4 linked regions of the Pelodiscus sinensis genome follow. The protein of the gene in region 2 interacts with the protein of the main gene of each other region in a pairwise test. Links are inferred from orthologs where the notes say so. Each region holds a gene or a part of one and is shown on either strand. Other genes may lie near its edges. The genes, in order: MYLIP, LNX2, SRSF11 and C8H10orf88.

Region 1 (7,776 bases), on a different chromosome or scaffold from region 2:
GATGAGTGCAGACTAGAGAGGTTCAACCTATAAGTAGTATTTGCACTGCTGTGCAAAGGCAGTTTCACTAAATCTCTCTGAATGGCTAAAAATCTCCAAGGCAGAAAGAATCTGAAATTCTATCACAAAGCACATTTTTTTAAAAACAACAACAAAGAAGTCACATCTTCATACATCATAAGGAGTTTAAAAAGTACATGCTAAATATGTGATTCTGCTATGTAATAAGCATTCGGATCAGAATGTTAACCACAAAGCACAAATTAATTAGCTAGTAAAATGAAGAATGAAATACCTGACAATCCTGGGATGTGTGTGGTCACAATAAATTTGAACACATTAAGGTAATGGAATATCATAATTTTGTATTTGTTTTCAGACAGATTTCACCAGTTAATGATCCCCATCTAACACCAGAACCTATATAGCTGACTGGTATATACAAATGTTTTAGATTACTAGTTCAAAAGGAAGAAAATTATTGACTTATCCACTGAAGATGTGTGAGACATTTTCTAGTGCAAATTAAAATCAATAAGGGGTTCATTACTATTTGTTGCTGGAGTTTGAAACTCAAAAAATTGGTAATTATGCATTTTTCTAAAACTTATCATCAATTTAGTTATTGTGCTTGGTTAGTAGGTCTTTTACAGAAGAGACAAAACAGTTGTTCCTTTTGTAGCTTAAGAGAGAATATATAGCTGCTGGAAATTGCTGTAACCTGACACTAGACTAAGAGGAGTTTAGCAAGTTTAAGCATTGTGGTAGAAAACACTTCCTGCATAAGCAGTTGAGAATGACCTGCAGTAACACGCTGAAGAGAGAGGTTACTATCGGGCATGTAACTCAATATAAATATCACATGCTAGCTCTTGTATTTTCTCTTTCACTTGTAGCATTAAATATGTATGGAATTAATTATGCTGTTCTGAGCTCTCATATTATGAGTAAGTTAGAGTAGCACTATTCTTCTTCAATCTCCAAAAGAGAGTGAGAACTGTTTAAAATGATGTTACCATTTTCACAGCAAGCTAACTATACAGCTGAAAAGCAAGAAAGCTGGATATAAAAAGTACTAAATGATTGGTAGAGACAACATACAGCTACCTTACAGTATTAAATTACAGACCATGAAAACGTAAAATGAAATTCACTCAAAACTAATCTTACCTTGTCTGTTCTTGCAAGATAAGATGTGGTTCTACAAAAAACTTGACACGCAGTTTCAACCGGTAAGGAGCTAATCCATCCATCTGCTGGGAGATCCTATTTCTCAAATTCAGCCATAAACTCTCCCCTTTACTGCCTGCGAACTGAAGCCCAAAGTAATCCACTTCTATAATCCCCAACCTCCTGCAAACCTGTAACAAAAATGGAAGTATTGTAAAAGTGGATCTATAACATACATAATGCCAAAACCATCACCCAAACACAGGAGAGTAACTTTTTAAAAACTGCTCAGTACACCTGCTACAAAACCCAAACACTCTAATAATAAACTCATCTTACTGATTCACTTGCCAGTAAGAAATCATCAAAACTAAGCAAAATATTCAAGAAGCTGACCAGCTGGCAACCTACAGACATGTATATGAAATGACAATACAAAAAGGAGGCATCAGAGTTATCACTGTTCCCCCTCCCCACCAAACTTGGGCACCTAAGCAAGAGTGACCTGATTCTCCATGATGCTGAATTTAGAAAACAGATGTTTAAGCAGTGAGATGACAGATCTATAAAATCACGATTGGTGAGGTGAAGTACAGAAGTGTTATTTACCCAACCCAAGCAGCAGAGGTTACCCAACAAAACTAAAAGGTAGCTGCTTTAAAAACAAAGAGAAAGTATTTCCTCACACAAGGCATAATCAACTTGTGAAAATCACTGCCAAGGAATGGTGTGAAGGCCAACCGGGTTCAACAACAAAAAAAGGCAAGTTCACCACAGATTGCTCTATTAATGTGGCTATTTTCCAAAGGAGTCAGAGATACAACTCCATCAGAGACCAGGTGTCCCCTAGCAGCCCTTGACTGCCAGATGCTACAACTGGATGGCAGGGAACTTTTAACTACTGCCCTGTCCATTCCCTCTGTAGCACCTGGCAACTGGTCACTGCCTGAAAACAGGATATGGGGCTCGGTGGCCCATAGGTCTGACCCAGCACAGCGTTTCTCACGTGCATCAGCAGCCCCCTCTCCACCCAGGAAACCAAGGGCGCCTCTGAAAACTTGCTTAGGTGGAGGGAGCCAGGCCCGACTGGGCCCACACGGAGTCAGCAGAGCAGTCGGCCAGTTCAGGGGGGGGGGGGGCGCAGGACGCCTCTCCGGGCCACGTGTCTAATATTTAGGCGACGGGTTGGGGTGCCAGGAGGGGAGCGGGGGGAGGGGAAGGGGAGCGGGGGGCGGGGTGGCAGAAGCCTGGATCCTGCCCCCGCCCCGCAGGGCCCCGGCACTTCACCCCTCCGCCTGGGGAAGGGGGCGCTGGGGCCTCTCCCCAGCCCGCGGGGTCCGTCCGCGGGGGAGAGCGAGCAGCCTCTGCGGCCAAGGCGGAGGAGCTGGGTGACTGACCCCGCTCCCCCCCCGCCCGACACAGACACCGCGCGCGCGGGGGCCGCCCTGCGGAGGGCTGCGGGCGCGCGAGGGAACGTTAGTTAAGGGCGCGCGAGGCAGCCTCGCCCGCCCCCCACCCGCCGTTTCGCGAAGGGGAGGGGCCGCCGGTCGCCTTCTCTGCAACGGACCCGGCTTCAACGGCCGTCGGGGAGGCGCGCGCGCGCGGCGGCGGTATTCCCGGGGCGGCGCCTCACCTGGTTGAGACAGTCCTCGCCGTTGGCTTTGGCCTCCACCTCCACCTCCATCACCACCGCGTCCGGCCTGGTCACATAGCACAGCATGGCTAGGGCAGGCATCCACCGCCTCGCGCACCCCGCCCGCTGCGGCCCCCGGGCCACTCGTGATCGTCTAGCCGCCGCCGCCGCTGCCGCCGCCCCCTCTCCAGTGCCTGCTGCGCTCCGGCCGGCGGCCGCTCGCACCCCCATATATCCCCTCCGTCTCCCCGCCTCCGCACCCGGCCGGCAACAGCCAGCCAATCGCAACGCGCCGCTGCTCGCGACAAACAGCCGCCGTCGCCAATCAGAGTGAGGTTCTCTTGCGGCCGCGGTGGCAGGGGAGCCCCGGTTTGTTATTGCTGCTCTCTGCCTCCCCCTGCTGGGTCACGGCGAGAAGCACGGGGGGGAGGGGTGCTGCGCTCTACGTGGGGAGGGGCTGCCCGGGCCCACCAAAGACAGGCGCTGAAGGTGAGGATGCACAGAGCCAGGCTGCCCTACATCTCTTCTAGCAGGGAGCAGCTGGCTCAGTGGATGCGAGCGGCAGACGCCAGAGCAAATATTGCTCAGCGTGGTGGCCTTCCTAGCCGACAGAAAACGCCCGTGTGGCAGCCTACCTGGCTGTGCTGACAGCTGTGCTGGCACAGAGGTCTTAATGTAGACATCACCTAAAAGCTTGTCTTCCCCCCAGGTGATGCTCTGGAATAGCTGTTCATGAATAACAGCCTTTGTGACACTTCCATTCTGGACTAAACAGGAATTTCCCCAAATTAACTCAAAATCTGCTATAGAATTGAGAATCTCTGCTGATGGCTGTGTCTAGACTGGCACTGACACTGGCCGCTTGAATTTCGGCAAGAACACTGACGATCTCATGTAAGATTGTCAGTGATCTTGCGGAAATGCTATGTTGCTCCCGTTCGGGCAAAAGCTCTCTTGCGCAAATGCTTTTGCGCAAAAGGGCCAGTGTAGACAACGCAGTATTGTTGGCGCAAAAAAACCCCGATTGCGAAAATGGCGATGGGGCTTTCTTGCGCAACACCGCGTCTAGATTGGCACGGACGCTTTTCCGCAAAAGCAAAAAAACTTTTCCGTTAAAAGCATTTGCGGAAAATCATGCCAGTCTAGATGTAGCCAGTGGGTCTGGAGATGTGGCTGCACTGACAGGCGTCTGGCAACATTCATGCTGTGCAAAGTGACCAGGCTGGATGTAGTGGCAGGCCCAGCAACAGAAATTTTGGACAGTAGTGCATCATGTTTGCTGTTGCCCCATTCCCTCTCATTTTGCTTCATTTACACAGATGCTCTCACTTGGACTCCTGAGCTTGAGGCCTTGGTACAATTGTTCCCTCTTACTCCTCCTATGATTGAGGAGTTGAGGCAAAAGCCAACAGTAAGGACGGTCTCAGAATTATTCATTTCAGAGTACAATATACAATTATAACATGCATTTTAATATCTTATTTCTAGGCTTAGCTGACTCAACTCATGCTGTGAATAGAAAATAATTTGAGATACCAATATTAAGATTAACACTGTTATCTCCTATTTCCACCTTTGTTCCTGATTATCCCATCTGTTGTACTGAGAACATGGCACAGGAGATGGAGCAACTGTGTGCAAAAGTGGTCACAGACTAAAGTTCACCAACCTCCATGCACTGTATTGCTGCATCAGGGCAGAAAGGAAGGTGGGCTGGTCTCCTCCTGGAACTCAGGAAATATGAACTATTGTAATAGTGTGAGCTAGCCAGAGGAAAAACACCTACATTGGATAATTACCTAGAAGTATGAGAAAGGCACAGAACATGTATGAAATAAAATAGTCTCTAGCTACTTTCACTTATGTAGGGAGTAGTATAAACCAGTATGAAAGTAAGGAACATATCAGCAGACAGGGGAGGCCCCAGAAAGAGGTAGCACTCCAGGGCTTGGTCTATACTAAAGCGGAAGGTTGAAATGAGATATGCAACTCCAGCTGTGTTAATTAGATAGCTGGAGTCGACGTATCTTATATCGCATTTCTGAACCATCCACACAACGGGAGGCTGATGGGAGTAAACTCTCCCATCTACTTCCCTTACTCATCACAAAAGGAGACTACCAGATGTCAGCTGGAGCTGCTCTCAGCGTTCAATGTATGGGTCCATACTTGATCTGCTACATCGGACATCCGAAAATCAACCTCTGGAGCACCGAGCTTCCATATAACATAGATGTGCTGCAGGTGAATAATAGGCAGCACATAGTGAACAGGAATAGGCAGACTGATAAGAGTAAAAGTTGAGAGAGGAAAAATGGGATTCTGGAAAAAATTCCTCAGGTTAAAAGGAAAAAGAAGAAACTAACTGGTGGAATGTCACCACATGGATGGACATTAATGTTCTTGCTGCAGTTTAATCTTCATGGCTCATCTGCTTCTGTCTATCCGAGTATTTGTTCTCCATCCATCAGTATAGAGTCTGACCATTATTATTAATTTGTATTACAGTAATTCTTGGAAGCTATCCTAGAACAGGTCCCCATTGACCACTGCACAGAGTAATACACAATCCCTGCCTGCCTTGAAATGTTTAAATATATAAGACATATGTAGGACGAGGGAAAGGACTACAAAATGCAAACGGAGTGAACAGGCTTGCAAACTACATGTTAGTTCCAGGATTCATTTTGTAAAAATCTATAGGAGGAGTTTTGCTCCCTACCTGCCCTGACTCTCTACAGGTCTTGGAAGCGAGTGCCTGATCCCTGGAGCCCCTAGGTGCCTGGGAAGTCAGGGAGGCTTTGCACACTGCCCCTACCCCGAGTGCTGGCTCCACAGTTCCCATTGACTGGTAATTGTGACAAATGGGAGCTGGGGGAGTGGTACTTGTGGGCACAAGGGACAGTACACAGAACCTCCCTGGCCCCCATGTACCTAGGGGCTGCGGAGACCTAGTGACTGCTTCCTGGGAACCATGGTAAGTACTGCCTGCACCCTGAATCCCCTGCTGAACCCCAGCCCTGCCCCAGCCTGGAATCCTCTCTCACACCCCAACTCCCTCCCAGAGTTCAGACCCCATATGCACCCTGCATGCCCCTGCCGCAATGCTGAGCCTCCTCCTGCAAACCAAATTCAATATCCTCAGCCCCACTTTAGCGACCGACTCCCAAGTGGAGCACTCACATCCCCCACCTCTCAACCCCATACCCCAGCCTTGTGAAAATGAGTGAGGGTTGGAGAGAGAGAACAATAAAGAGAAGGGGCAGAGTCAATGAGTAGGGGCTTGGAGAAGCGATGGGGTAGAGACATTCAGTGCAATTAGAAAATTGTCAACCTTACTTGTCACACAACTCTTTTTTGGGTCACAACTTCTTCAATTACAACACAGTGAAATTTTATATTTAAATAGCTGCAATAATGAAATATATTATTTAAAAAAATCCTACAACAGTGAAATTGACCGAAATGAACCAAGAATTTGGAAGGGATGTATTTATATCTGAAGCATGAACATTTATTACTATTTGTATTATGATTACACATGGAGATTCAAGACTGATATCAAGGGTACATGTGGTAGATACTGTACACATACAGAAAAAACAACAACAAAAAGATACTTGCTCCAAACAGCTGACAATTTTTGTCAATATTTATATCCCTTAGTTTTTTTCCCCTCCCTTTCTTTGTACTCTATTTTATGTACCTAACAGCTCTAATACATTAATTTCTAATCCTTTCTAAGCCTTTTCTTAATCATGTTAAGCTTTTAGCCTCAGTAATATCATATAGCAATAGGATGCATAGGTTAATCAAGCATTGTGTAAAAAATACCCAAGTATTTCTTTAAATGGGTGTAATTTCTACCCTAACAGCATTGAAATACATTTCATTTCACGATCTTTTCTAGTTATTTTACCCATATACTGAGCAAGGTAGATGCAGAATTCAGCTACACCTCGTAGGAGAGAGGTGTACATGCCTGTACCAGAATTGATTACTGCAAAATTCTTGCAGATGATGTGATATACAGTCTATTTCTGCATGTAGAATCTGCTCCTCTTATGTCATCTTCACCTTTTTAAAGTTCCTTGCAGAAAAACATGTTCTCCTCTTGCTGCTGCATCTTCAGGAATTCTGAAAAGCATGCCACCTTTTAATCTGAGCTTGTTTTCCAGGTCACCAATTTAATTTCTGAGCATTTCACATTCCTTAGTGTTCTCAAAATAGAATAATCATTGATTATTTTCATGTCTTTAAAATGTTCTTTCATGCTCTAGAAATGCTGAGCTAATGCTTTTGGATTTCATCTTAGCAGCCATTATTATCCAGATGACAAAAATCTTTCTTAATGTTAGCCCTCACTAATGTAAGTTTAACATCATTTGATAAGTCAAATCTCTAATCCTCAAGCCATGACTACTGGTATTTTGATACTTAAGCACACCAAAATTTATTTTTAGACATATCACAGCATTTACCTTCATCTTCCTGGGAAACTAAAAATACCATTTAGAAAAACCAGGAACAAAGGGCATTAAGTTGAAAAAATAATAAAAATAGGATGCACAATACAAGCAGTTGACTATTAAAAACTTTCTATGATCATGGCTGACCAATATGTATTGAACAACAGACCTGATTCTGACGACACATTTAATATTTGACATTTACACAGTAAATGAGATAGATCGGAGATGATCAGTTTTCTCCCATATCACAAAATATCTGTGATGTTTGTGTGGTCAGCTATCCAATATTAATTTTATAATTACTTGTACTGTATTTCTTAAATTTTAAAGGAACACAATTAGCATCCTCTTTTTAATGCACTATTATTACAAATAGCATCTAATAAAGAGATTAGAGTATATAAGTGCATTTTACTCCACTTTTAGAATAATAGAATAGAATAAAATAGAACTGGAAGAGACCTCAAGAGGTCATCAAGTCCGGTCCCCCGCCCTCATGGC
Region 2 (7,017 bases):
ACCCCCCTTCATACCTTGCCCTGCCTCTTCCCCCAACCGATGCAGCCTGGTGTAGAACCAGGGAAAGGCCCCCATGCACTCAACAGCAGTGGAGGAAGTGGAGCAATGTGGCCCCAGCTCACTCTGCTCCCCTTGCCCCATCACTCTGCTGGTGAAGGATGCCTAGGGATTCTGGCCCCACTGGCTGCTATCTGGCCCCCTGCCCGTCCCACCCATGGCATTTGGGGGGCAGATGCCCCCTAGTGCCTTCCCACACATCACCTCTGCTTCTGCACATAAGCAAAAAACACATCAGTTTTAGCACGTGTAATTTAGGGTTAAGTACAGTCTTTAGCACATAATGACAATTCAGGTTTGATAAGAGAATTGTTGTAGTTCTTGGAAGACACCTAGTGTGCACTTTCATACAGAAAATATCAATTTTTTCCCTCTTTCGGTGTGTTCAGTACTGCAGGGGAGCACTAGGAAGAAAACTCACTTCTCTACAGCATAAGAAATGGCAACAGCCAAGAACAGGAGGCAAGGTAACCTCCCTTCTTTCATTATGCATTTGCAATGATGACACTGTCTTTGCTTCTTTCTAGCCTCAGAATATGTAGGTTTTATTGCTTTTGTTTTGATTTCCCCAAAGGTAATAATGGATTATTTATATTCAAATAAAAATTTGAATGTGTACATAGTCAAGCTGATGGGCAACAGACATATTTAGGCAGCCTCTGCTTGCAATGCAGGATTTAGCTAAATCTTCTCACTGTGAAAGGTATGAAACATGGGGGAATTCACCATCTCCCAGTGAGAGTGATGGGATATGCAGTCTGTCATAATTTGAAGAAACACAAAGGAAAATCACCATAAACATATCTTAACACTCTGAGTAAATATCCCAGACCTAAAAAAGAGCTCTGTGTAAGCTTGAAGCTTGTCTCTAGTTTCTCACCAACAGCAGTTGGTCCAATAAAAGGTATTTTCTCACCCAGTTTGTCTCCCAGTAAGGGACAGACTCACCCAACCTACTAGTTTCTAACATGGAGAATGGGCTGAGACAACTATGGGGAGTAGCAGGGGGAAAAAATCACTATTTTTCCACACCCAATCTTTAATTCAATTGAGAACTAATGTAGATTGTGGATACTTTTCTTTACATAAATAAAGAAGAAAACTTTAAACTAATTCAGAACTTCTCAGGTATGCCTATTATTAGCCTCTATAAATGCATGTACTTTTAGTACAGTACTATGTGGGGACAGGAGTACACCCAAACAAATCAGATTTCAGGTACTGTATCATTTTATGTGTTTGCACAATGCGGCCCTAAACCTGACTAGAACCTTAGGGCACTACTACTATAACATACATACATACATACACACACAATGGTTTTCCAGGGAGAGGGGAAACACAATGGGAGATGGGTGAGGAGCTATTACTATCAACACCCTCCTCCCATCTGCCACTGAGTGGGGACTGGGAGAATTGTACCCACGTAGAGGAGAGAGTAGTCATCATCATCATCATCATCAACAATCCTTCCACACATTCTCCCCCCCCCAAACGTCCCCTGTACCCGAGAGAGGGGCGAGGACCCTCCCTCGCACACAGCCCCTTACGAAACAGAGCTGGGGAAGAGACTGTTTCCCTGCCTTCCGATCTGAGGGACACTCACTTTCTGTTGTCCTGAGCTCAGCCTGTTACTCCCCCGGTCTGAGGTGAGCCTAGCGTAGCTGCCAGTTAACACGAGCACACGGGGGTGGAGGTGTCGGCACCAGCCAGCCCGCAGAGAAGAAGCGGGGCGCCTGGCGAACCACCGGGAACGGCGGCGCCTAGCAGCGAACTTACTCACCCCACCGGCTGCCGCCGCCTCCAGCCCCGGCTCAGCACGGCGCCCGGGTCCAGCTCATCCCGCGGCCGGGGGCTGGCTCCCTGCCCCCGCCCGGCAGCTCCGCCTCCCGCTGTCACCGCCGAGCTCCTGGCAAGAGTCAAACGGCCAACTCCGGGCAAGGACTTCGCCGCGCGCCTCACCTGGGCGGGCCGCCTCCTCCGCCGGGCCGCACCGCGGCCCGAGTGACGGCGCGGCCCAGCCACTCAGCCGCCAGCCGGGGGCCGGGGAGGGGGAGCGGAGGAAGCACCGCAGCCTATGGGAGCTGGGCCGGGGCGGGACCCGGCGACGACGGTCGGGCGCTGGGCTGTCCCCGCCGCTCGCCTGATTCCAGCAGGCGCGCCCTGGGGCAGCGGGGCAAAGGAGTGTGAGGGCAGGAGAGACGTAGAGGCGGGTCGCTTGATAACGGGAGGTAGCGCATGGGAGAGGACTGAGTGAGGGGGGAGAGCGAAAGGACAAGCAGGAGCGCTAGATACCTGAAAGGGAGGGCTTGTTTCTCTTTGCAGTCGCCCCATCCTACCTTACCCCAGAGAGCTGCGACTAGCTACAGGCCTCGCTGCTGGGAACTACGCTTAGCTTTCTTCGCAGGGCGCCCCTGTGTGCTGGGTTACATGCCAGGCGAAGCCGCAGTTGCAATTCCCCTTTACAGCCCGGCGGTTGCATCGTGTTTATGCATCGGGTGCATTCTCACTGCTTGGTCAGTGGCAAGTGAGTCACTGCAATCCCACTCACCAGCCTGCTGCCGCCCCCCGTGGGGATACCCGCGTGATCAGCTGGCAGCCTCTGTAGCATCACTGTGCACAGACTGGGGGGCAAGAGAGAGGCGCCTGCTCTGGGGATGGAGGTTTTGAGTTAACTGTTGGGATTTCGCTCTGGGACACATAACTCAGCAAACCCCTCTGCGCCGGTGTTTGGAGCGGAAGAGCCTAAACACGCAGCAATCCCCAGCCTACTCCACATCTCCAGAGGGGAACCAACACACACCAAAGGGGGTGGGCAGAGCCAATGGGCACCCGGCGTAGCGCGGCCTCCTCACGCCTCCCCAGTGGGAAGAACTGGGGTCGGCGAGGCCACGGGGGACCCGAGCACCCACTTCCAGCACCTGGGGCAGCACCAGGAGCTAGGTCTGGCGGAGGGTGGGTGGGACACGAAATCGCTGCCCGCTCCTGTAGGAGCGGAGGTTCCGGGCACCGCTAGGGCAGGGAGGGTGAGGCGGCGGCAGCACTTAAGAGTACGCGCCGCCCGCTTCCTTTCTAGCTCCGGCTTGCTCCGCCCCTCCCGGGGTCCTCGCAGCGCTCGCCCCGCAGCTCCGCCCCTCGCTCCTCCCTGTCCTCAGCCGCGAGCAGTAAACGGGTCGGGCCTGCACCTGAGCTACTACTGCGCCGGTGTCGGTGGCCTAGCGGGGGCGGCGTCGCATCGCCCTTCTTCCTGCCGCCGCCATGGAAGAGGACCTGGAGCTGGAGAGGTGAGAGGCCGGGGCGCGTGTTCCCGGGCACCGAGACAGGGCCCGCTGTGAGCTGCCGCGCCTGCCTGGCGCAGTTGTTCCCTTCCCCGGCCCACTTCAGCACCGGGAGATGGGGGCAGAGGTCAATGCAGGGATGAAGAGTTAGAAGGGTGGGGGGCGCCTTATCTAGGCAGATCCCTCTTCAGTTTTGAAAGTTTACTTCTGTACGCGCCCCTTGACAACTCCCTGGTGGGATGATCACTCTTGTGCCAGGCCTCTGGGGGACGCAGCCCCAGGAAGGGCTAGTGCTGGACTCAGTAAGAGGCCCATTAGTTATGTCGGTTCCCTCCTTAGACTGGCAGAGGCCAAGCTAATCTTCCTGATTTAGAGCCCGTCTGCTGGATCTGTTGTGGGGCATGATATAAATTATCTGCTTCAACAGGTAATATTTGTAGTGCTTCGGGACCATTAGAGAGCCTTTACAAGAGAAGTGGATCCTATTGTCTGTTCATTGTTTATTGTCTGTTTGTTGTTCATTGGTGCTGATGAAAGTGTTTAAATTTTCCACTTTATAACATTACATGCCATATAATAAAAGTTTATTTAAAAAAGGGGTGGCTTCATTTAAGTGGATGCTTCTGGTTTCACTTACCTAAACATCAAGACATCATGGTTTGGAATATTTGGGAGAACAGGGTTCCCAGTTTACAGTACACAGACTTACACACAGGAGACCTTTGACTTCAGTTTGAGAAATAGAATTGGTTTTCTATTCCTATTACATCAAATATATTTTACTTTTACCTGTCTTAGATTGGTGTTGAACCATACAATGTATATTACCAAAAAAAAAAAAAAAAATTAAGACTAGCTCATTCCATGTACTGCAAGTATTCTAGGATTGCAGAGGCTGCTGTTCCAGTTATAGGAGCCCTTCCTCTACCTGTTGCAATATCATTCCCCTGTCCCAAGACAGTAATCTGATTCCCAAGTGGATGTAATCAGAAGAGTATCTTATCACAGGGAACTCAGATTATTGGTGAGAAAAAATAGGTGTAGTGAAGATACTGCTGACTTCCAGTTGAATTCTGAAATCCTCTATAGGATTGGCTCAAATTACTTCATTGCCTCACTGAATCCCATGATTTGATTATGATCTCCTGGAACAATATAATTGCCAACGTTAGAAGTGAGACTAGTGCGCTCAGAAGACTCGTTGGAAACCTGGCCCATGACTGTGGAATTTGCTTCTGGGAAGACTGAACCTCGGTGTCTTCAGAATAAAATAAAAACTCAACTTTTTTCAAACCTTATTTTGTTAAGGAAAGGCATACTTGTATAAATTAAATTACCCCCCACCCTTATTAAATGAAGAAAAACAGGCGATTTTCTATTTTCACTTTAATAAACTTGGGTTGCATGCCAGTACCTGTTACGGCTGCAGCCAGATAACTGTGGAAGTTGCAAAATTAATAAGCCCTGTTTTGTTAATTGAAACAAAGCCTAATCTCTGACTGTAATTATTATAGTAAACTTGTGTTTACATTGACAGTAACAACTTTCAGGGAGAATAAAATGACAGACACTTTGCATTCTGTTGGAATGAGATCATTCATTCTGCTACGCAAATTGACCCATGTCATACCCAAAAGAATAGTAATAGAGAGGTAGCTGTGTTAGTCTGATCTTGCTAAAACAAAAGGAAAAACTATGTAGCACTTTAAAGACTAACAAGATGGTTTAATAGGTGATGAAACCTCAAGTGCTACATTGTTTTCTTTTGGGTATAAGAAAAGGAAAAACTTTCAGTTTAAATCCAGGTTCATTTAGTTGATTATTCAGACATAACAGACCTGTGTTTTACTTTCTGGTTTGGAAATGGACCAGAAGCACTTACGTTATTGGTAAATCTTGTTGGTGTTTGTTGTGGAATTGTATGAGAGTAATGACTGAAATAACAGTTCTGCAGTATGACTTGTCAACACTACAACTAACCCATGTGTAACAGATTCTCATGTGAGATTACCTGTTAGCAATATGTCTAACAATGATAGCGGCAATGAAAGCTTCTCTCACTGCTTTTCCAGTGTATCTCTCACCCAGTTAGAAAGTCCTAACTCTGTGGTTTCATTTACAAAAATAACTTGTTGCCTCCCCTTTCTGCCTCCAACTGATAGCGTAGATGAGACAAAGATAATATTGTGTTGGCTGAAGTGAAGTGATAATTGGGCCTAAGAGAATGTAATGATCTATTTATCTCCATAATTCTTCAGTAAAACACTTGTCCCCTATGATGTTAAAAAAACAGCTAGTATGGCACGTCTGAAATATCAGACTAAATAAGCATATGTCGTTGTGTCAAGATTTTATTGGAAAAATGTAGTGACCACATTAATTGCTGTAGTAAATCTAAACTAGACCATCATAACTTCTACATGTGCCTCAGTTACAGAAAAGCTATTTTAGGGATTTGTAGAGAGTTTTTAAAATATTTATTTGAGCTGTTTTTAGGTACAGGTTGGACTTCCATTGTCCGGCACTCTCAGGACCTGAGTGGTCCTGAACCAGGGAGTTTGCCAGACCAGGAGAGGCCAAGGCTCCTCTCTGGGTTGTGGGGTCCCTGCAGCCTGGGCTTCCTTCCCAATTGCTGGCCCCCTGCTGTAGCTCCTGGGGTCAACCTCCTCAGGCTGTGGCTCTCCAGCTGCCGCCAGTCATACTTCTATTGGGGTTCCCAGCCAAGGCCAGGGATTCTCCCCGGCCGCTGCTGGCACCACTGCCACCAGGATTCCTGGCTTGGGATTCCTCCCAGCTAGCACCAGCTCTGCTGCCACAGAGGTTCCTGGCTGGGGATTCCCCCTAGCTGGGGATTCCCCCTGGCCAGCGCCAGCTTTGCTGGTGCTGGGGCTCCCAGCTAGGGCCAGGGATTCCTCCCAGCCACCACTGGGGCTCCCCAGGGCTGGACTCCCCACCTACCGCAGGACCAGGGCTCCCCAGAACTCCCCTGGACTCCCAGCTGGGCTTGTGCTCCTGGCCTCTGGGGCTCCCTGGTCCAGAAACATCCATGGTCCTTCTGGACTTAAAATAGTGTATTCTTAAAATTGTACATTTAATGTCTGTTATGGACACTTCCTAGATCTAGAGCAGCCCCTGTCCAGAGTGGTTCAGGCTGGCCGCTACAGCCCTGGCCAACGCGGGCAGAGGCTGCTTCATGACAGCCTCCCCCGTTTCCTACCCCTTCCCGCCTGCAGCCTCTATCCATGGGGAGCTCAGACCCCCACAGCTGCAATATCCCTACTGAGTATCACTGTACTGTGTTCTGATTCGTATTACTGTACCAGTTTTATTCACTTTTATCCTCTTTTTATCCTGGCTCTAACTCACTTTGTTCTATGTTCTGTATTTTTTTTTTTCTTGCTTTAACATGAACTTGGCTACCCCTCTGAAGATTTTAATTTACCAGGAATAATGGATACTGTATTGGGTAGCTCTTGTCATGAGACCCATGCAGAGTCTGAGATTTAAAGCAGTAAATAAGCAGTGACTATAAATACCCTCAAGCTGTAAATAAACTAAGATTTCCCATTCATCTTTGCCACTGCCTATGGCAAGTGTTTGATTGAATCCCCATAACCTGCCCCCTCCCCCCCAATTTCAAATCTTTTCAGCTGGAAGTCAGAGCCTGGCAGTTTCCTCTGGA
Region 3 (7,035 bases), on a different chromosome or scaffold from region 2:
TAGAAAAAACAGTTTCTTGCCATTTTAACCAGAAAGGACACTCTCTCAATGACTTAACCACCTGCATTCTGCTACAAAGACCTTTTACATCTGCACTTGAAAGGGAATCCTCTGAACTGTCATTCATGTTAAAATTCGACACTCTCCGAGAAGGAATGAACAAATGCTCAAACTATCTTACCCATTACCAAGATAGCTTCCCCAATTATCACCTCTAATACCATTAGCTCACAGACATCCCACTCTCCCCACCTCTAATATCATCAATTCACAGACACTTACCTTCCTTCCTCCCCCTCCTCCTCCGCATCCCCCTCCTGTTCTGAAATGTGATTTGTCCTTTTCATATGTGTTCATTTTTTTAATTGTATTCTTTGGTATATATGGTTGTGACTATTTTCTTCCACTATTTGATCTGAGGAAGAGGGTCTGGCCCACGAAAGCTCATCATCTAATAAACCATCTTGTTAGTCTTGAAAGTGCTACATTGTCCTGCACTTTGCTTATAAGGCCTGTGACTCAGGGAGGCAGCACTCACCACAACCTCTCAGTGAAGTCACAGGGAAAAGAAAAAGAGCATCCAAAGCACCCTGAGTGCCCAGTATTTATGGACTATCATTGCCTAGTGATATCTTCCCATTCTGTTCCCTGGTCAAGGAAGAAGTCTGTCCAAAATGGAGGTTCACCTGTTGTTTTAAACACAAACAAAATGGCAAACCCATGCCCAAACAGTTTAAATATCCCAACTGAGTTAATAGTTCCTTTGTAACATATAAAGGAACCAATATTAACAGCTGCGCATTTCCCCAGACCTGCCAGCTGCCTGCTTGGCACAAATGTGCAGGTGCAAACAGACTAGGGAAGAGATGTTCAAGGAAGCAAATGCAATCTGACAACTTGGACAAGGAGCACATAAGCAAGTGGAGGAATATGCTTGCTGGAGGAACTGCACACAAAGCATCAGGCAAGGAGAGCGTTCAGGAAACGGGAAGTGAAGCACTAGGAGGGAGTGCTGTCATCCATGGCAAATGTGATGGACTGCATGGTGTCACTCCAGGACTCCTTCCTGTACAGGCACCCCTTACGGCCTTGCAGATCTATGTTCCCTCCTCCCAGAGTTCCATAGCATCCTCTATCAGAGTGCCTAGAATGTAGAGGGAGGAGAGTCAAGGGCAGCCACACGAGTCTCTCAAATTGTCAAAGTTTGAAGTAGGAATAAGATCCTCCAGAAAAGGGCGCTTTTTCCGGAGGATCGGGGCCAGTGTAGACGCTCTTTTCAGGCTTTTCTAAAAGCCGGAAAAAAGCGGCGGACATTTTTATTTAAATGCCGCGGGGGATATTTAAATCCCCCGCGCATTTCCCTACTACGATGGCTGAAATTAACATGCCCCTTCCGGAAAAGGGGCCAATGTAGACGAGCCCTGCTTGTATTGAAGGATGGGAAGGGAGTGTTACAGGCTAGCACATGGAATGCAAGGGTACCTCATTGAGAGCAACATGCATGACTCTGAAAACTGGCCATTCATAAAACTGTCTCTCTGATTTATTTGGGCATAAGATTTCATAGGCTCGATGAGCCCATTTCGTTACAAGCTAAAAAATGCAACCCCCCCCCCCCCAAAAAAAACCCAGCAGCATTCTGGGATGTATTAGAGAGGAGTATTGTAAGGAAGATACCAGAATTCTTAATTCTACCCCATGTTGATTAGGCCTGACTGAAGTATTGTGTCCAGTTCCGGGCACCACATTTCAAGAAAATATGGACAAATTTCAGAAACTCCTGAAAAGAGTAACAAAAAAAGATTAAAGGTCTAAAAAACATAACCCATTAGGGAAGATGGGGGAAAAAACTGTGTTTGTTTCGTCTGGAGAAGACTGAGGGGGAACATAATAGTTTTCAAATACATAAAAGAACGTTACAGAAGGAAGAAAAAAATATTCCTGAAACTATGCATACAGCACAAGAAGCAATGGACTAAAATTGCAGCAAGGGTGGTTTAGGTTGGACAGCAGGAAAAACTTCTTGTCAGGATGGTTAAACACTGGAATAAATTCCCTAGGAAGGTTGTAGAATCTTCATCATTTGCGATTTTTAAGCGCAGTTTAGACAGAACGGCTACGTCTAAATTGGCCCCTTCTCCGGAAGAGGCATGTTAATTTCAAACTTCAGAATAGGGAAATCCGCAGGGGATTTAAATATCCCCTGCGGGATTTAAATAAACATATTAAATAAATATTCCTGAAAGTAGGAATAAGATCCTCCGGAATAGGGCTTTATTCCGGAGGATCGGGCCAGTCTAGACGCTTTTTTCCAGCTTTTCCCCAAGCCGGAAAAAAGCGGCGGCCATGTTTATTTAAATCCCCCGCGGATTTTCCTATACTGAAGTTTGAAATTAACATGCCTCTTCCGGAGAAGGGGCCAATGTAGACGTAGCCAACATCTGTCAAGGATCTAGGTAATACTTACTCCTGTTGAGCGCTCTGGGGCCAGCAACAAGGGGTTAGGAAACATGGCCAGCAGCTGGGGCCGATGGCCAGGATTGACCTCCCCTAGTCCAACCAACTACTTTGCAACTGATCAGGTCCCAAGGGAACAGAACCAGGGAGGTCCAACCTATACTGAAGAAGCTGCTTCTCTGTCTGGATGCTTCTAGTGCATTTACTAACATAACCCCTTGATGTTAATGGATATGGGGGGGGGGGGGGGGGTTGGCAAATCTTATTTGTTACATTAACTTCACTTACAGCAAAATCAGGTTGCAGATTTATTTTGTTTTCAACATACATGTTAGAAAGGAATTACTCTGGAACTGAAAAATTAATGGGAAATTGTTATTCAGGTACTGTCGCACCCGAGATCATCTTCTGGCATTCAATTTAGTGAGTCTAGTGAAGACCTGCTAAACTGAATGCTGAGCGTGCCCTCAGTCAGCACCAGTACTCCTCAGTCGCAAGGAGTAAGAGAAGCCGATGGGAGCATTTGTTCCTGTCAACCTCCCACTGTGAAGATAGTGCCAAGCTCAGCTTAAGAAGTATGGACTCCAGCTACATTATTTAAACAGCTAGAGTTGAGTATCTTAAGCTGACCTTCAAGTCTAGTATTGACTAAAGATGTTAAGAGGCAGGTATCTGACTAATCATTTAGTTGATACAAACGGCTACATGATTAGTTGATAAGAGAAGGCACTCTGTACCAGCTCGCACTGGTCCAGGAGCTATCCCCACTGCAGCTCTGCAGTTTAAATGTAGTAGGAGCCAGGCGTGCAGGTAGCCCAGCTCATACAACATTTAAATTGCAAAGCCACAGTGAGGTTAGGACTGCAACTGGCACAAGCTAGAACTGAGCCAGGTTTGCTCAGTCTCAACTTTTGCTGGGTCCAGTAGTCCCTGCCTGTACCCAACCTGAGCCGCCACAAACAGAGGCTGCTGCCTTTCCGCGTGGGGGCAGCACCATGGAGACAATGCTGGGGGGGGGGAAACCAGCCGGCTCCTGTCCCCCTGCTGCCTCTGATATAGAGGGCAGCAAGGGGACGGGAGAGGAGGGAGTAGTTCTCTCGACTACTCTCTTACTTCCCTAGACCTGGCCTTAGGAACAGGCTTTGCCAGCTGCTGAGCTCCCTGGGTGCCCTCAGAGCCATCTGGAGAAAGGGGCGGCTCTGCGCCTGGCAGATTCAGGCCCTGGCGATTCAGAGGAAGCGCCCTGCAGCTCTAGGCCCCTAGAAGGGGGCGCTCAGGCAGGCGTCAGCTCAGAGCGCTCTAGCCGCAGGCAAGCCCCAGACTGGCCCCTCTGCCTGAATTTTCTCCGCCCCGCGAGGATTCAGTCACGAGCCCGGAGGAGGAAACAGGGATAACGGCCCTCAGGCCCAGACGCCTCTCCTGCTAAGTCCCCAGTGCAGCAGCCCATACTGCACATGCGCGGGTATTTCCATAGCCATGGCGCGAACATGTCGCATGCGCGAGAGCTGCACGACATGGTTGACTGCATGTGCAATAGCTGCAAGTCCTTGGGAGAGGTACAGGCAGTGGACATGCGCAAATGGGGCGTCTGTGGGCGAGGCGAGTTGTGCGTCTGCGCAAGATCATCGAAGTACGCGGATCGCGCTTGCGTAGAGAAGAGCAGTAAAGGATTGTGGGATACTAGTTACGGCCCGGGCAGGCTGCTGGAGCGGGCAGCTGGTGGCAGTTATTACTCCACAACGGTTGTTTTGTGCGCGAGGCCCGTGGTTGTGCCCGGACGGGTAGCGGCAGGGGACACAGCAAAACGCTACCCGGTTCCTAACGCGCTCTTCCCCTTCCCTGATGTGTTTGTAGCACTGGAGTGGGAGGCAGCGCGATGTCTTCAAGCAGCGGCACCGACGTGATCCAGGTCACCAATGTCTCTCCTAGCGCCAGCTCCGAGCAGATGCGGACACTCTTCGGCTTCCTGGGCAAGATCGAGGAGCTGCGCCTTTTTCCTCCCGAGTGAGTCCGCCAGCGGGAGCGGGCCCCTTCCTCCCCCGCGCCATACTCGCGTCCCCTCCCCCACTCAACGTCCCGCCTCTTTCCCATCCCGCCCCGCGCTTCGCTGCCGTCTGCCGAGGCACGCTGAGAGTGTCAGGCCCTGGGGCCTAGCTCGCCATCTTCAGGCCTCGGCCGGCGGTGCGGCGGGATCGGGCTTCCCCGCGGAGCTGTGATAACCCCCAGAGCCTGCCTCAGCACCTCGCTAGTGTAGACCTCCGAAAGGGAGAGTTAGCGGTGTGGGGGAGGGGGGAAGTGTCGTATCCCGCCTGTCTCACATGGCTCCTCCTCGGCCCGCAACGTGCCGGGTTACCTCACGGCCGGGCACTCGTTCCCGGAGCAATTTTCAAAGCATGTGTGAGGGAGGGCCCTGAGCCTATGGGCAGTTATCCCGGCTAAATGCACGTCCTCTTGCATCGCCGACTGCCCCGGAGCCTCCAGGTGTTGAGCTACGTGTGGTGGGATTGCTCTCTTACGGAGTCACCGCTCACCTGTTGGATAGTTTCCATTAACGAGCAGTTACTACAAAAATAGCTTTTGTTTTCCCCTTTTCACAAATTGATTTTTTTTCTCTCCCTAACACACAGAAAGTGCAAGGTGGGCAGTAAATCTTAAACCAGTTATTGGGTTAAAGTCTCGTAAAAATTAAAACCAGCAAACAGTGCTTTGCATTACTGAGAATGATGCCCCCACCCAATCTGCTTCCAATGGATTGCAGTTTTTTTTTTAAAGGGTTTCAACTATTTAGAAATGTCTAGACAGAAAAATAGAGCTTATGACAAGGTATAAGTTTTTACAAATATTTAACAAAAATATGCATATACATAATGATTATTTTAACGCACATCAGATCTGCTGAACTCACAAATTGTAATCCATGCTCAGAGAGCTTTTAAATAATTACAGTTTTTTAATTTATTGTGATACAAGAACTGAAAACAGCATGCCATCTGTTTCTGTTCCTTTTTTTTATTTGTGAAGCAGGATTGCCTTTATTTTCATATAAAAAGATTTTGACTGTGCCTGCTCATTACTCTCCCTCAGATGGTTTCTAATATACCCATTTTTTCACCTACTTTCAAATAGTTGCTGTTCGGGGGGGAGGGGGGGAAGAAAATTAACTGCAAAAGCGACTTTCCTTTGTGCCACATCTCTCTCTCCCCCCCACAAATCCTCCAGGTATCCTAGATAGATGTGTATATATTCTAACACAGGATTTTTTAGTGTGTGTGTGTGGTTTTGGCATCCTCAAATGAACACTGGCAATCTGAACCCCATTTCAATGCAATTTTGAATAAGAATTTGTAGTGTAGAGGAAAACTAGTGGATGCACAGAGATTCAAGTTGATAGGTTTTTATTATTGGAATACAGTAAAACATGAATGTTTTCATTTGTATATGGAAAATCCTATTTAAAGTGCCAGAAAAGTGTCATTTTCACCAAATAACAAGGAGCTAGTGTCTTTAGCAAGAGAAATCTGTTTAGGTTGTTAACATAGTTTTCTTCATTGTTTTGAGCATTTCACAATCATTAATTTGTATTATGTTTCGACATCTGTATGAAGTGGATGTTACCACCCCTCTACAGATGGGAAGTTAAGGCATGGAGTGGATTGAGTGACTTTCCCAAAGTCTGGTTGAACTGGGTATTGAATATATTTAACCTAGGTCTCTAAAATACCAGTGAAGTGCTTCTACGGCTTGTATGCATATAGCTTTTGGTAGTAGCTGCTTCTAGAAATAACTCCTGAAGCTTCACCTTTTTCTGCTAGAGAGTTCAACAACTCTCTTGTTTTTTGTATACCCCTATGTTGTTCTTAATTCGTCCCCACTTATTAACACAGGCACCCACATTCAATACAAGAATACTTTGTCAAAGCCTATATAATTGGTTGTGATAAGTATGAGAAACAGAATCATCATGTCTCTATCAGAGGTAAAAAAAAAATCTGCCCAGGATAGAGCAGTATTGGTAGGGTGCATGCATTCTTACTAAAGAAATGCAAAATTTCAAAATCATATATTTGCACTTGACTACAGTAGGAGACGCGTATAATCTCTTTAGTTTGGCACTCTGTCTCAATGGTACTTTGTCCATTTTAAGGTGGATTTTTGTTAGAGTACACACCAGAAATGGATTTTAAGTTACACATTACACACAGATAGACTTTGAAAGAATATTCATTAAGACCACAAAGTAAGCACTTCTTTAATGAAGGATACTCTTCTCTGTAGTACTCCAGCTTTATAGAGTGACTGAGAGATGGGTTTGTAGGAATAGAAGTACTGGTAACACCCAACTTTTCTCTCCAACCCCTGATTAATCACCAGAACAGAGCCATACTATGCACTGAATGAGGCAGGGCTTTTGAGGATAAAATAGGATATGGTTGTGTAATTAAAATAAATAAGCTAAGTTACGGTTACACAAGTAACTTTAATACTAACATTTCCCAATTTCTTATTGCATGAATTAAAGTTGTAACCTTGGTATTCTTTTAACTTGGTGTGTAGTTTCTAGGTATTTCAAAGAGCAAT
Region 4 (7,888 bases), on a different chromosome or scaffold from region 2:
TTATTCTGAATAATACTCATATTGAAAGACTGAACCAGATTAAACAAGCTCTTATCTTGCCAACACTTAAGCACATGCTTAAGCTTTATGCATGTGGGTAGTCCAAATGATTACAATGAGACTACTCACATACGTAGAGTTACAAATGTGCATGTTTGTAGCATCAACACCTAAAATTCTCATTGTGCACAAATTGTTAAACCTTTAGAATACCTCTAATTAAAAAGTGAGTTAAGAGCATTTTCCCTCCCTCTTGCACAAACTTTAACAACAACATTTTAAGACAAGAGAACCTTGGTTCAAAATCCTCCTACTTTTTAAAGAGAATATTCACACCACATCTCAGGTTAGCAAAAACTTAGCTATCATCTTCTGACTGTCAGACAGTAATGCAAAATAACCCATTGGTCAATTTAAAACAATTTTTTGGAATTTCCTACCTTAATTCTGCAAGAAGTGGTGGAGTACTCCAATTTAAGATATTTTTTGTATAAAGTAATCTTATCATTTCTGTTAGAAAAATAAAATAAATGAGCTGTGACGTCTATGGTAAATGCTAGCTACAGGAACACAAAAATAATAGCTATTACGCTGATAATGGGGGAGGAAGAAGTTGAATGCATTAGCTTTCAATGGAATATGTTGGGTTTTAACATTAAAATTCAGTTCAGATTTAATCATATGATATACATACACACAAGTACACATTGTTCCTTTTTTCCCCCCACACATGGTACCAATAGGATTTTCTTCTAGTTTTGGCTTAACTGACTAGCTGGTTCTTAAGTTAGCAAAAACATAGCTGGCCAAATGTTTATGTACTGCAATCAAAGTTTACCCCCTTTTATTTTTTCCCCTCCAAACTCCATAGGCAAATTCTTGTAGATTACGTAATAAGAATATTGACATTTGTTTTCATTCCTCTTTGCAGTCATATACAAAAGAACTTTAAAAAGGTGTTCCTAGATGATTTTTAGAGATTACTGCTGAGTTAAATAATTTAACTCACTGATAACAGTAGCTGACAGCCTTAATTATAATATGACTCAACAATGACAGGCAGGGCTCACCTGAGGAGTGAGAAGTGCAGTTTCTATGCCCACTCAATCCTTGGACTCTGCTGAGACTGTTAAGGTAGCACAAACTGTACTGGTAGTTTTTGTGATGCGGATATCTGACCACTAAAAACCTCAAACTGAGACGAATACCGAACAGATAATAGGTTTTGGCCTTTAAGATTCCGAGACTACATTTAAATCAAGTCTAAGAGCAATATAACTCATCACCAGCCCCCACTCCAACCAGATAGTTTCCTTTTCAAGTGGTTTTAATAAAGCAAAATGAAGACCCTTACCTCTCATTCTGAATGGTGCAGACATTCTGTCCCCTACCAGTTCCATAATATTCTTCTCCTACATATACTTCCATGTTTCTTGCCCCACTTAAAATTCCAACATAGACTATTTCCTCCGATCCATGAGGATCACACTGCAGATACAGTAAGCAGGGAGTTTCAGTTTCATCATTTAAAGGTCTCTCCAAAACCACAGAGTTCTCACTAGAAATAGAAGAAATTATGTTTAAGTAACTTAATTACATTCTATTTAACCTGGGCTTTCCAGCTAACACTCGTTTGTTTTTAATTTAGAACTCTTCTTGCTGACTCACAGAAAAATAATTAAAAAAACCAAACCAAATCCTCCCTGATGTGGCCCCTGACAGAGGAGAAAGACTCTCCCCACATTCCCCTGCACACCACAGCCTACCAGGCCTACCCTAGTAGACGTGTGGGCCAGCACCTTGGTGGGGCGGGGTTGCGGGAGGGAAGGCTAGCGTGTCTGTCTTAGAGGCCAGAACCAGTCAAGTCAGGGGCCAAATCCGGCCCAGGCCTGAGGTTCCACCCCCGATGTAAAGTGACTCAGTTTTTAAGAGCAGTTACATAATCTATATCTTTGTAAGTGCAGTATTTACCACTTTACTTTCAAAGCCCTATCCTTGATGAAGAACACGCAACACGTACAGACTCTGTGTTATGTTTACAGTGCACATTTCACAAACTTCAAACTTGCTGTGGACCTAGTTTGCAGTGAAAAATCAAAGGCTGTGCCACAGCTAAAGAAAGTTTTGCTCACTTAATACTGTTGTCAATGTCGGGGGAGGGAGGGGGGAAGAGACCAGTACACGTGTGCTATCAATATATTTAGTTATACACAGGGACAGGCCGACCTTGAAATCCACTCCTCAGTGCCCCTGATGCTCCAGTTCACACAGGCCATGCTCCGATTACCATGTAATCCGGTCTCGTTATGTCTCTTTCCATTAAAGGAGACAGCTCACTCAAACAGCAGCAGAGGCATTTGCCTCTTGCGCTGAGGGAAGGGCTGCAGCCCCCGCGAGGGGCCAAGCTACACCTGCGGGGACACAGCGACCCCTCACTGCGCGCACAGGTGTCTGCCTCCCGCCTCAGCAGCGCCCCGCAGCCAGGGGGCAGGCGTCAGAAACCGGCCCAGCCGGGGCCCACCGCACCCAAGACGAGGCTACTGGGGACTCCGCGGGGAGGAGGGGTTCAGACTCGCGCCCTCGCCCGGGATCGAGCCTCCTTTCCTCGCAGGCTGTGAGTCCCGCGGCGTTTCCGGGCGCCCCTTACCCGCTTTCGGGCGGCGACAGCGCCTCACCGCCGCTGGCTCCCTCGGGAAGGAGGCAGAGGATGTCCTCCAGCGCCTCGGGAGACGAGGCGGACGCGCACTCCCAGGAGCAGCCGGCTGCCACGCGAGAGCGGCGGACGGGGCCATTGGCGGCGCGGAGACCATCGTCAGCTGCCTCAGCGCCCGCCAGGCTCCCGCTCGCCATCGCAACCGCCCCGCTGGCTGCCAACCGTCCCCTGCGGGCCGCCGGGCAGAACGGCTTTCCACAGAGAACATGCTCCCGGCCGGGCACCGTTCCGGCCGGAACGCCCGCCTTTCAACGGTCATGAGGCGTGCGCGCCCGGCCGTTGATTGGCTCGGAACCCTCCAGTTCTTCCCCATCGAAGGCGTCCAGCCCAGGGGCGCAGGCGCACTTTCCCCCTGCTCCCGATTGGCTGGTAGGAGTAGAGCGGCGCGTGCTCAGAGCGGCGGTAGAGCTCGCTTCCGCACCTGGCTGGTGCGCGCGAGTGAGTGGCGGTGGGGTGTGAAGCGCCCTGGGGGAAGTAGCTGCGGGTAGCGAGTGGCTGGCAGCTGCACCCTCCTGGGCAGAGTATCCTCTAATTTCCCCCCCCCCTCCCTGTGGGGAAAAGAATTCTGACATGTGCACCAATAGGGAGACGGTGCGTGGCTCCTCACTTCCCTATTGGTGCACATAACAAAAGTCATGTGGCTGGGGCGGAGCTCAGGGATTGGATTGGGGGAAGGGGCTCAACTGGGGCAGAGGGTTTTGGGGGGGCGCCGCGAAAGGGCTTCAGTTGGGTGGGTGTGGGCTAGTAGATAGTCAGGGAACGAGGAGCTCAGGTTTGGGGCAAAGGGTTGAGGGTGACTCCAGCTGGAAGAGGGGGTTGGCTTTGGGGTGATGCTGGGGATGAGGGGGTTGGGTGCAGGCTGTCTCGGGGATGCGATGGAAAGGGAGGACTCTGCTTTCTGGCTCTGCAGCAACACCTCGACTGGGGTGGGAGAAGTGTCTCTCCTAGGGCCTCAGCCTGACAGAGGAGTTCCTATCCCTCCTGACTGGAATAGATTGGTGCTGAGTGTTTGCATGGCTATGCAGTTCAGAAGGACTTTAAATACAGGGTTTGGGATTACTAGGTCAGAAGAGCTGTTGGGTGGAAACCTTACAACCCTGAGCTCCATTCTGTGAAAGTCCCCATAATACTAACAACATGGCCTCAGCCCAGGTTTTCTTTGGGGGGAGGCTATATGCTCCCTCACTGGGCATAGGCACAGACCTTGGGAAGAGGGAGGACATAATGATTGTAATGCTTAAGCCTTGCACCTTGAAAGATTTTTGTACATACCTTGCATATCTCTGCAGTTCTGTTTGCCTTCACTCAAAAAAGGTATATTGGCATTAGAAAAGGTACAGAGAAGGGCCACTAAAGTAATTAAGGGTATGGAACAGTTTACATAGGTGGAAAGATTAAAAAGATTGGGATTACAGTCTGTCTCCAACTAACAGACCGATTACGGACCAAGCAATTGGTCGTAACTTGGTTTGTTCGTAAATCGGACCCCATTGATTTACATGTGACCGCGCTGTTCATAAGCGCGGATCGTGTTCATAACTTGGGGTCTGCCATTTACGACACTTTTGGTCGTAACTGTGAACTGTCGTAAGTCGACCGTTCGCAACTCGAGGACTGGCTGTATTAAGATATTAAAAGAGGGGGAGAGGATATGCAGAGATCCATAAATCATACCTGGTATGGAAAAAGTATATAAGGAAGCATTATTTACCTTTTTATATAACACAAGAACTAGAGGTTATCCAATAAAATTAATAGGCAACAGTTTTCAAAAAACAGCAGGCAGTGTTTCACACAAAGAACCATCAACCTGTGGAACTCTTTGCAGCAGCATGTGAAAGCTAAATCTATCACAGGGTTCAAAAAAGAACTAGATACATTCATGGAGAATAGGCTCTTCAGTGACTATTAGGACGGTCGGGGATGGTGTCCCTAGCCCAGAGGTGGGCAATAATTTTAGTGAGGGGGGGCACTTAGTGAATTTTGTTATGTGGTCATGGGCCAGCTCCACCCTGGAAGGGTTTGGGCCTGGGACAGAAGGGGCAGGGCTGGGGACTGTCAGCTTGCAGGGGCATGGCCAAACAGGAATATGGATTCGCTTCACACAGAATCGATTAGGGATAGTTGCTTTTATTAATCTCACTATGTCACTACTATAACAGGGTTAATGTTGCCCTATGGTTACACAGCTACTACAAAGTGACACATCAATAAGCACAGGCAGAGCAATGCATAAGCGAGCAACAGGCACTTAGAAATGCTTACTCCCCTTCAGTCTGCGGGAAGTCCTGTTCCTTGTCACCTCGCACCAGGCCACAGTGGACATAGCTCCAGCTGAGGGAATCCAGGGACCCTCCAAGGTCTAGGTCCCTGGTGAGACTCACTTGGCACAGGATTCCCTACACTAGTTACACTACAGTTGTTTACTGGGTGTGCACGTAATAGTGATTATTAACCAAAATGGTCAGGGACACAGCCCTATGCTCTGAGTGGCCTAAGCCTGGGAGTCAAGGGCAGGATTGATCGCTCAATAATTGCCTGTTCTGCTGTTTCCATCCAAAGCATCTGGCATTGGTCACTGTTGGAAGAGAGGATACTAGGTTATATGGAGCATTAGTCTGACCCACCATGGCCTTTCATATGTCCTTATATATATTTTTTTATCTTTAGGATCCTTCCTCATATAGGGACTATTCTATCTTCAGCTGAAGTCAGTATTAAAACCTCCCTCTACTTCAGGAGCCTAGCATCAAATCTTTGCTCTCTAAGGCTGTGTCTACACAGCAGCATTATTTTGGAAAAACTGACGTTATTCCGAAATAACAAAGAACAAGTCTACACTACAAGCACATCTACACTTTATTTTAAAATAATGTTGAGCCGGAGGTCTTCTTACTCTGACTCCTGTAACCTTCATTTCATGAAGACTAAAGGAAGTTGAAGGAAGAGTGTTCTTCCTTTGACTTCCTGCTGTGTAGACAGCGCCAAAAGCCGAATTAAGCTATTTCAACTTTAGCTACACAATTGGCGTAGCTGAAGTTGTGTTGCTTAGTTCAACAGTAGCCCTGCTGTGTAGACATGCCCTGAGGCTCTGATTGTGTCATTATGTAATTTGACAAAGCAAATTATTGTTGCTACTGCTGTTATATAATTGCAATGAATTTTATACAAACAATAGGTATCCTGCAGGCTAAATGACCCAGAGTCAATCTGTAGAGACATATTTGAAAAGTGTGTAAATGGTAATTAGGTCCATCCCCTGGTAATTAGGCTAGAACTTTGAAGTGTAATATATATTCTTTGAGAATTGAGGTGATACTAATTGTATATATGTACTTATATCTTGTTATCTGTTAGCCATATAAACAGATTGTTCCTGTCTGTCCCTACAGTTATTGGTTCAGAGATCAAAAGGAAATATTAACATTTAAGTGAACTGTAAGCATAATAATATCTCTGAATTCATCATCTTTTTTTTAAATGTACAGCAAATGGTGGAAAACTGGCAAATGCCTTATGTTAATTCTCACAGCTATCATGGGTGATACTTAGGAAACAGGTCTATTTAAAAATCTCAATAATTGCCTATTGTTTTTCTGAGCTGTCAAAGAAGACCAAGAACTATAAGAACGTCTGGGATCCAGATTTCTTATGATCTCAGATCTGCTTGAAGCTTAAGCCCTAAATTCTGAGATCTCCAGTCCTATCCTGGATTCACCATGAACATGGTCATTGGATTTATAACCTATGAACTATTTCTGAAATAACTCGTTGCAACTACAGGTTTCACCACCCTAAACTGGGACTCTCCAGGAAAGGAGGGCCAACAGCTAAGAGCCCCATGCATGGCAGGGCTGGTAGTAGTGGGGCCAGGTCCTCAGCAGCCTGGTGGTACTGCTGCCCCACAGCAGGGACAGAGCTGCAGCAGCTGTTAAGGCTGTTCCCCTTTCTAGCACTTCAAGCATAAAAGGTGGGAGCTTGTAAGAGACTTTAAAATACCCTGCCACTAAAGGCGTCTGCTGAAGAAACATAGATATCGGTAAAGAGAAAAAAATCTCTAAAACCCCTAATAAGAACAAATTCATAAATCACAAATGCAATAGGTGTCTTCCTGGTTTGTATGAAGTCCTTGTTTACATGGGTATTCAGAGAATGTGTCTGTGCTCTATCAGTATATGGAAAAAATGAATTTCAGAATTCCTAGAAAAATTGCATAACAAAAGTACCACTTTATCTCAGTAAAGAAAGGAAAGAAGACTGTTCTGCATAATTTTCCAAAATGATTTGTACAGTTCATCTAAATTGAAATAAAAACTTTTTCTTTTTTTTTTTACTTAGGACTAAAATGTGCATATAAAAAGTCATCAAGATCATTTTGCTTTTGGGAACGTTAACGGTTGACTCAAAATATGATTTATGATGCCAAAGTTTATTGTTAACTATAGCATCATTGTAATTACATTCTGTTGCATTTCTGGTCAATGTTTGTGATACCTGTGTATTCAAAGATACAATATTTTTATATTTTTCTGAAATAAATATCTTACAGTAAAAAATAAAGAACAATTACAAACTGAACCCAAGTAATCTGCATTTGTCTTATAATCTTATTATAAGATGCATTTTTTAAGGTGGTTCATATGAACTCTATAACTTAGCTTATATGGTGCTTTGTTTTCCTGTGAACGTTCGAAAGTAAATTGTTGCTGGTCTCTGAATTCTGGACTTTGGTCTCAAAGTTTCGTCTTGTCATCCTTACGAAGGGAATCACAGCTGGCCTTCTCCAATCAGCGTTTACAATCATGTTATACTGGGTTTGTTGTAAGTTGTCCAACCAGTTTTTGTCAAATGCAATGTGAGAAATTTGACTTCCCTCTTCTTTGGGAGTGTTTGCTGACATACCTGAAGTACTTTTTCAATGCTATTTATTGTTTGCCTTGACAACAAAAGGTTCTTGTTTTTCTAGTTCCTTCATTTAGGGGAAACTGCTGGTAAAAACGCCATCCTCAGTAACACCGTGTTTCTGAACATCTTAGTAGTTGTGTTTTCTCAGATAAACTTAACTATGTTAAAATGCAACTTACTTTGGTTTGGTTTCGGGCTAATATTTATTGGAAAGCAAGTTCATACAGCAGGTGAGCTTCAGTTTTAATTTTTAGTCAGAAAGATGTTACA

What was found.
Region 1: the proteins of LNX2 (region 2) and MYLIP interact in binary tests that used the Homo sapiens proteins (3 or more experiments, as listed by UniProt). The link is inferred for Pelodiscus sinensis from reciprocal best matches to the Homo sapiens genes LNX2 and MYLIP.
Region 3: the proteins of LNX2 (region 2) and SRSF11 interact in a two-hybrid assay, tested with the Homo sapiens proteins (3 studies listed by BioGRID and IntAct). The link is inferred for Pelodiscus sinensis from reciprocal best matches to the Homo sapiens genes LNX2 and SRSF11.
Region 4: the proteins of LNX2 (region 2) and C8H10orf88 interact in binary tests that used the Homo sapiens proteins (3 or more experiments, as listed by UniProt). The link is inferred for Pelodiscus sinensis from reciprocal best matches to the Homo sapiens genes LNX2 and C10orf88.

Annotation. Positions count from the first base shown.
Region 1 is NC_134712.1:107,408,070-107,415,845, reverse strand, and holds the start of MYLIP (E3 ubiquitin-protein ligase MYLIP), read right to left. Parts: upstream 3,010-7,776; 5' UTR 2,906-3,009; coding exon 2,804-2,905; intron 2,198-2,803; exon of another isoform or gene 2,183-2,197; coding exon of another isoform or gene 2,177-2,182; intron 1,362-2,176; coding exon 1,171-1,361; intron 1-1,170. UniProt on the Homo sapiens protein: E3 ubiquitin-protein ligase that mediates ubiquitination and subsequent proteasomal degradation of myosin regulatory light chain (MRLC), LDLR, VLDLR and LRP8. Activity depends on E2 enzymes of the UBE2D family.
Region 2 is NC_134711.1:300,348,383-300,355,399, reverse strand, and holds the start of LNX2 (ligand of Numb protein X 2), read right to left. Parts: upstream 3,008-7,017; 5' UTR 1,841-3,007; intron 1,815-1,840; exon of another isoform or gene 1,664-1,814; intron 1-1,663. Other genes in the region: protein POLR1D, read left to right, coding at 3,316-3,341.
Region 3 is NC_134719.1:20,888,710-20,895,744, forward strand, and holds the start of SRSF11 (serine/arginine-rich splicing factor 11), read left to right. Parts: upstream 1-4,029; 5' UTR 4,030-4,333; coding exon 4,334-4,461; intron 4,462-7,035. UniProt on the Homo sapiens protein: May function in pre-mRNA splicing.
Region 4 is NC_134718.1:55,985,589-55,993,476, reverse strand, and holds the start of C8H10orf88 (ATPase PAAT), read right to left. Parts: upstream 3,006-7,888; 5' UTR 2,851-3,005; coding exon 2,648-2,850; intron 1,559-2,647; coding exon 1,355-1,558; intron 511-1,354; coding exon 441-510; intron 1-440. Other genes in the region: disintegrin and metalloproteinase domain-containing protein 9-like, read left to right, coding at 7,779-7,848. UniProt on the Homo sapiens protein: ATPase that regulates mitochondrial ABC transporters ABCB7, ABCB8/MITOSUR and ABCB10. Regulates mitochondrial ferric concentration and heme biosynthesis and plays a role in the maintenance of mitochondrial homeostasis and cell survival.